Linked DNA regions of Sus scrofa. The protein of the gene in region 1 interacts with the protein of each later gene in a pairwise test. Links are inferred from orthologs where the notes say so. Each region holds a gene or a part of one and is shown on either strand. Other genes may lie near its edges.

Region 1 (4,182 bases):
ATTTCATTAAATTCAAATAAATTTCATCACTCTAGCACCTGGATTACTCCAACCTTAAGGGAAGGACTTTTTTTTTGTATCTTCCTCTATTTTCCAAATTCAGTGATAACCTTTACAAAGAGAGGAAGAAACAGTTACTTTTTTAAAGCATCTACAGTTTTTATTTAATCCTTGCAACTTTTTCAAGTAGGTATTGACCCATTTTACAGAGGAAGAAAGTGAAGGTCAAAGGTAAGCCTAACCCTCAGAATCACAGTAAACAGGTTCGAAAAATGTCTGCTTTATTTTATGAACTGTTCTTTCCTCCATGCTCTGTCGTCAAAGAGCAGAAGCATCAACACAGCAAAAGAAAACTTTTCCCAATCCCAAGCTCAAGTGTTCTGAAACGGATTCTCATTCCCTGACATTTACTGAAAATGACCGAGTAGGAAGTTGTAATTTTTTAAAGGTTTTTTTAAAACCTGCCACATTAATAATTTGCAATAAAGCCATGTATACAACCCACCCCTGCACTATGATCACAAAAAAATTGCTTAAAATTTTTAACTTTATTCCTTCATTGCCCAATTTTAATAGTGAGATGAATGTTTAAAAACACTACTGTATCCTTAAACTTTTGAGAAAACTAGAAATAGGAAGGAGAACAGGCATATCTAGAGGTCCCTGATTTGCAAGTCTAAGGATAAATGAAATACTTTATTTTGGGGACCAATTCTCATCTGATAGAACATAAAGTACTCAATTCCACCTGGCTCATCTGATAATTTCTGCATTACCTTGGACAAATGCCATCTGAATACTCCCTACCAGCCCTTAGGTGCATTGCAGCCTCTGTGTCATTGTGTGACATCACTGGGTTGCTATGGATATAGGTGCGAGGTCACTCGCTTTCCTGTGAAACTAGAAATATGGAAAAATTAGAAGAGTCTAAATAATTGAACTGAAGATACTGATATCTATTAAAGTATAACTTCTATCATTTGCACTTTAAAGACAGCAACTGTAGCAGTCTCTTAATAAAGCAGTGCTCCCAATTTCAGAGTCAATTCTCTTCCTTAAGGGAATAAAAACCCCTTATTAATGTAGATGACTTAAATATAAAGGCATCAGTATTGTCATCTTTTGTGAACCAGTAAAATTATTCAAGAATTAATGAATCTGTAATACCTACACTGCTTCATTAAAAAGATTTAACACGCAAGGTACACTCCTGCATCTGCTACACACAGGAGATGCACTTTAAAACCTTTGTTACATAAGGCAAGAAGTATTTAACTTATTTATTAAAATAGTGGGAGACCTAAATCACTAGATAATTTTCTAGGTTTCATTTAATAATGGTCAATACTCCCCCCCACCATCAAACTGGTTGTCTGCCCATTAGACAAATGTAGTGTTACAAAATGGTGCAATACAGGCAGGAATCTGCATCCCAGACAAAATGCGACAACTGGAGATCAGTATTCTCTTTTCATCACCAATAAGGATGTGATAGCTTTTTTTAAGCCTCAGATATATCTAACAAAACAAATTAAAAAAAAAAAAAAAGATATTTTTTCCCCTTTAAAATAACTCCTCCCAGCCTCCACCCAGTCTAGGCTCTCTGCAATATGACAAATGCAGAATCTTCTGGAATGACTTGATACTGCCTCCCACCACCGCTTTGTTTGCAGTATCAGATCAGAGAGAATATTTTTTCAACTTATAGGAATTTCAACAGATGTGTGCCTGTGTTTAAAAGAGAAACGGCATATTATCACAAATTGAACCAGTCAGCTAAATTCACAACCTTTATTTTTAAGACAATACCTACCCTTTTCAATACAAAAAACACTAGGAAAAATTAGAGATAACATATTAAGAACAATCAATGAAAAAGCTAGCCAAACAAACGTTCCCCTCTTCCTAAAATCAAGAGGGCTTGCTTTGAGGTAAAGAAAGAGGAGCCTTTTGTTAAGAAAAACGTGAGCAAGGAGGTTTCGATTTTGTACTACTGCGCCCAGGTTTTCAGGACAGCCTACGTTTTTACCGGGGAGACTCTAAAGGACCTGTCTCGAGAGACAGTGGGAAGATTTGGGGAGAGGGGGAGCATCAGAAAACCGGGAGACCTGCTGAGTGAATGGAAAAGGCGCCGCCCAGACACCAGGGAGAAAAGAGGAACCGCATCCATGCGGTCCCCCGCCCCCACACGCCCAGGCTGGGAGGAGGGGAAGTGGGGCACAAAGGATGCGCGTGGCCCCGGCTCAGGTCCCCGGCAAAGCCAAAGGCGCGGCGGCCGGAGAGCCGGCTGCCCAGACCAGCCCTGCAAGACCCCGCCCCAGCCCGAGCGCGAGGAGGGCTGAGGAGACAGCGCCGCCGGCCCCGGGGGACGCTCGGAGCGAGGCCGCGTCACACCCGGTCCTCAGCGCTCTCGGGACCCTCCCCAGCTCCCTCAGGGGCGAGAGACCTGCAGCTGCAACAGGCAACCAGTCCCCCGGAAGAGCCGACGAAGGCCCGCGTCTGCAAAGGGGCTGGGGCGAGGCGGGGGGAGGGGAGGAGAAACTCACGTTCTTCATGGCCGCGGCCATGTCGTCGTAGCGCTCCGCCTGCTCCGCCAGCCGGGCTTTCTGCACCAGTTGCTCGCGGTCCACCATCTTCACGGGCTGGGTCGGGCCGGGCAAGGAGACCGGGGCGGCCTGAGGGGCTCAGGGGACGGCTGCGACGCGGCTGGAGCCCGTGTGCCGGAGGGACCGACCCACGAAGCGAGCGGCTGAGGCGGCGACGGTGGCGGCGCAGAGGCTGCGGCTCGAGCTGCGACCGCGGGACCGGGCGCGAGGCGGCTGCGACTGCTGTGCGTGCCGCGGGCGGACAACCCCCTGCGGCCCCGCCCACGCCGCGTGACGCAACGGCCCCGCCCACCCGCCCGCGCACCCCCGCCCCGGCCCTTCCGTTCCTTGGGTTTCCCCTCCCCAACTCAGCTCGGCGCCGCTCTCTGGGCGTCCCCTCCTTCCCCGCTGCCCCCCAACGAGCCGGGTGCTTCCCTTCACCCCGGCTGCTGTGCCCTATCTTCTCCAGACGGCCCCCACCCTTCGTCCTGCAGACCGCGGCCCTCTCAGGCCTCCGGCGCCTGGGCCCCTGGGAGTTGTAGTTCATCCTCGGGTGCGGCGATACGTTGGGGAGATCAGGGACAAAGGGGCAGCCAAGACTACATCTCCCTGTTGTCGTAGCGCTCAGACAGAGGAGGATGGGACGGGGAGGGGGGGGTTCCTAATTCTGCGGCCGCTGGGGACCCCTGGCGGGGACGGAGGATGCATCAGTCCCAGTGAGTGCTGATTCACGGCCCCGCCCCACATGCTTGGGGAAATTACTGGAGGAGGGGGCCAGGGCCTCAGCCCTGGACCATGTTTCTGAGATAAAATAGCAGGACATGGAGGGGGGTGGGGGTCTGGAGAGGTGGGGTCCGTACACTATTGATTAAAACTGTGAGGGTGGTGACCGCCTGAGGGATGGTTGAATTAAGGAGCCAAACCTTGGGGGACTGTCACCCTCCCCCACAAGGTTCCAGCTCCCTCCGCATCCCCACCTTGAGATTCTTGGACCTGACAGGTGGAAATCTGGAAAGACAAATACCAGGAGGGCGTCCTGGTCAATTTGTAGAAAGGATACAGCAGTAGTTTGCGGGTCTACCCCTGGTGAGCCCCTTCCTTCCTCTCCAGGGTGGAGCATTAAAGATTCAATTCAGTTAGCCAATGGCTGCTCAACACTGGGTTGTGTGTAGGGGTTAACCAACTCTTTTCTGCCCGCCTAGAATATACACGCTGAGGTCAATCTGACTAATTCTTGCTCATGTGCTTCCCTTTTTGACATTCCATGTAGCTCACACAACCCACAGTTTTGACTGCACGTTTTATTTCGTTTATCCAGCACTTATCTTATTGCACACCTACAATGTTCCAGGCACTGTTCTAGGCAATAGGGTACGGCAGAGAACAAATCAAATAAAATCCCTGCCCAAGAAAATAGGCAAAGTAAAGATAAGTGTGTAGAGTACTTTAGAAAGTAATAAAGAATTTTTTTTTTTTTTGCACCCACAGCATATGGAAGTTTCTGGGTCAAGGATCAAACCCACGCCTGCAGTTGAAGCCTGCACCACAGCTGCAGCAATAGCAGATCCTTAATCTACTTCCCACAAGGAAATTTCCA
Region 2 (3,645 bases), on another chromosome or scaffold:
GTCAGCAGACCCATCCCTTCCCTGCCCACTGATTTCTGGCGGCAGGGATACTCACACTCAGGGCCGCCACGGGGAGGGTCTGCTCTGGGGCTGTCCCTCCCGCCACCAGCTCCGTTTATCTTGTCCCGGCCAGTCTCTCGGCATGGTCGAGCTTCCTGGAGCGAGAAGATTTCCGGCTGCCCTGAGTCGGAGCCCTCCACTCACCCCCATTCCCAGGCTGGGCCCCGGGCCTTGGGACCTCGACACTTGTTAGTAGCCATAAGAGAGTCAGTCTGTGTGGCCCCAGGAAGCAGCCTCTCAGTTTTAGTTCTCCTCAATCAGATTCAAGTCCAGGTCCCCAAAGTCCTGCTGGCACAGTGTCCGCTTGCTCAGCGCCTGCCGCCCCCACCGCACGGCCCCCTCTTCCTCCTCTTCGCTTTCACTCAGCACCTGGGAGGAACCCCCAATGGGGCTGCAGGAAGCAGAGAGAGGCGGGGGGCTACAGGCCATGAACCACGGTGGAGAGTTACTGCTGCCTTCCGGGGCTGTTTCTTGGAGACAGAGACCTCCTGAGTATGGTTTCTGTCAAACAAACAAACAAAATTAAAGCAAAGAAAGACACTCACTTCCCAGAGAACCCTGGCCCAGAGTGCCTTGAAGGCAGGAGTCCTAAGCATTAGGGTGAGGTCATGACCTCCCTGATAAAATTTGGGATATTTGGTATACATGCACATTTCTTTGAAGAAAGAGCCCACAGTTTCTATGAGATTCAAGATTAGAAGCAGGTTTAAAATCTTCACATGGGAGTTCCCGTCGTGGTGGGGCGGAAACAAATCCGACTAGGAACCATGAGGTTGCAGGTTCGATCTCTGGCCTTGCTCAGTGGGTTAAGGAGCTGGTGTTGCTGTGAGCTATGGTGTACGTCGCAGACGCAGATCTGAGGCTTCAGCAGCTGTAGCTCCTATCAGACCCCTAGCCTGGGAACCTCCACATACCGCAGGTGCGGCCCTAAAAAGCAAAAATCAATTAATCAATAAAATCTTCACGTGGGCAGGAATGCTGTCTGCTTATTCCACTACTGGATTGCTAGTGCCTCCTCAGAGCCTGCTACATAGCAGGTATTCAATATTGTTTGCTGACTAGTTGAATGAATGATTCTATGAATGAGTGAATAGGTTCTCACTTATTCGAAAAGGTTTGCAACCCAGTAATTTAGAAGGAAGAACATGGAAAAAGTGGGCAAGTGCATACAACAACTGCACGCACACTGGGAAGTCAAAAACATTTGTTGGGCAGATGAATGATGTAGCAGACTGCCATGCTTAAGCCGTCACAGACCCACAGCAAGCAGCGAAGGGCAAGGGGTAAAGCCAGCCATGTGTGAGGAGGGTGGGGCACTGATGATGGAGCTTTGGTAGCTCTTGCCTTCTCAGAGAGGAGCCAAAGTGCCTCTAGCATGACAATGTGGGATCTCTGTTGGAAGGTTTAACAGAGGTCTCATCCCAAGTTTCTCTGGAACCCCCCAGGACTGAGGCTTTTCACAAGACCTGGGACCTTCAGGGCTAAAACCGGGATAGTCCTGGGTAAATGGAGACAGAACACCCTAGCAAAAAGCTCAGAGAGAAAGGAGCTCCTGGGGAGACCCAGGAAGGGCCCAGAGCTAGAGGACAGCACAAAAGTGAAAACGGAACAGTGCCCCTACTCCCATCCAAGCCTCCCTGGTCCTGCAGGTCCCACCTGATTCATCTTGTCAAAGTCCAAGGAAGGCCGCAGCCGCCGCGGGTCCTCCTCATGGCGCCGCTTGACCCCAGCTTTTCGGGCATCAAGATCGCAAGGCTGTGAGCGGCTTCGGGGAAGATTGCGCAGGCCTCGAGGTCGCCAGGGCAGCTCCGGGGAGGATGCGGGGGAGCTCCGGGCAGAGGGCAAGAAGCGGCTTGCCTGTGGGCCCAGGCTGGGCGACAGGGAGAAGCGGCGCTGGGGTGGGCAAGGTGACAAGGACTCAGCATCACTCTCCCAGGAGCCACTCTGCGGGGAGGCAGCAGAGGGACGAGAGGACTCTTGGGCCAGGGCCAGGCTGAAGAAAGGGGGACTGTAGGGTCTGTGGGCTGGGGCACATTGAGAAGAGGCACTGGGAGCTTGGAGGAACCTGAGGCTGGAGACCCGCTTCGGGGGGCTCTGGTGAGGCACCTGCGGCCCACCCCCTCCACCACTGCCCCGGTGCTTGATGGGAGTCCACAGCTTGGAGGGGGCGGGCCGCCACACCGGCTGCCAGCGAGACAGGTCCACGGGCACTGAGAGTGAGCGGCAGTGCCTCTTGGACGGAGGGGCAGGGGGCACAGGAAGCTTTTCTGGGTCTGGGGGCTCAGGGCTTAGGACTTGGGAGAGGGGCTGCTCCTGTAGGGAACTTCCCGGGCTGGGTGGTCTGAGGTGCAGGCTCAAGCCTGAGGGATGGTAACTGAGGTTGAGGCTGTCCTGGAACTCGGCACAGGAACATGGGGGCAGACCCCTCCAGGAAGCACCTTCTGGAAGGCATTCAGAATAAAAATTAATATTAATGATAACTAACATTTTTATTTTTGTCTTTTGTCTTTTTGTCTCCCATGGCATGTGGAAGTTCCCAAGCTATGGGTTGAATTGGAGCTACAGCTGCCAGCCTACACCACAGCCATAGCAACTCAGAATCCGAGTCGGGTCTGCGACCTACCCCACAGTTCACGGCAACGCCAGATCCTTAACCCACTGAGAGAGGCCAGGGATGGAACCCACATCCTCATGGATACTAGCCAAGTTCGTTAACCACTAAGCCAGGTTGGGAACTCCTGTGATAGCTAATATATTTTTAAAAGCTTACTACGTGCCACACAATGTAATGAGTACTCTATGTGACATGTCTCAAAAATCTCATGAGTTAGGTTCTATAACTACCCCCATTTCACAGATAAGAGAAGTTCTATAACTTGCCAAAAGTCATGTAGGAATCAAATGACCAAAGCAGTATTCACACCTAGATTTGTCTGATGCCAAAGCTAAGTCTTTTTTTTTTTTTTTTTTTTTTGTCTTTTCTAGGGCTGCACCTGCAGCATATGGAGGTTCCCAGGCTAGGGGTCTAATTGGAGCTATAGCTGCAGGCCTACACCACAGCCACAGCAACGTCAGATTTGAGCCACATCTGTGACCTACACCGCAGTTCACGGCAACACCGGATCCTTAACCCACTGAGCGAGGCCAGGGATAGAACACCTGGAACGTCATGGTTCCTAGTCGGGTTCATTAACCACTGTGCCACGACGGGAACTCCTAAACCTAAGTCTTTTAAAAATTTTTTTTATTTTTTGTTTTTTAGGGCTGTACCCGCGGCATACAGAAGTTCCCAGGCCATGGGTTGAATCAGAGTTACAGCTGTGAGCCTACACCACAGCCACAGCAATGCCAGATCCGAGCCGAATCTGGGACCCACACCACAGGTCACAGCAATACCAGATCTTCAACCCACTGAGAGGGGCCAAGGATCAAACCTGTGTCCTCATGGATACTAGTCGGGTTTGTTACCACTGAGCCACCAGGGAAACTCGCTCAAGCTAGGGCTTTTAACCACTGTACTCTACTGCCTCCTTTATGAGAAACCATCTGAAACTGAAAACATAGTCTCATATATCGTCTGCTACT

Evidence for each region. The genes of interacting proteins can lie anywhere in the genome.
Region 2: the proteins of YWHAG (region 1) and FAM53C interact in binary tests that used the Homo sapiens proteins (3 or more experiments, as listed by UniProt). The link is inferred for Sus scrofa from reciprocal best matches to the Homo sapiens genes YWHAG and FAM53C.

Annotation. Positions count from the first base shown.
Region 1 is NC_010445.4:9,993,485-9,997,666, reverse strand, and holds the start of YWHAG (14-3-3 protein gamma), read right to left. Parts: upstream 2,866-4,182; 5' UTR 2,634-2,865; coding exon 2,547-2,633; intron 1-2,546. UniProt on the Homo sapiens protein: Adapter protein implicated in the regulation of a large spectrum of both general and specialized signaling pathways. Binds to a large number of partners, usually by recognition of a phosphoserine or phosphothreonine motif.
Region 2 is NC_010444.4:140,337,097-140,340,741, reverse strand, and holds part of FAM53C (protein FAM53C), read right to left. Parts: intron 2,502-3,645; coding exon 1,717-2,501; intron 562-1,716; coding exon 304-561; 3' UTR 1-303.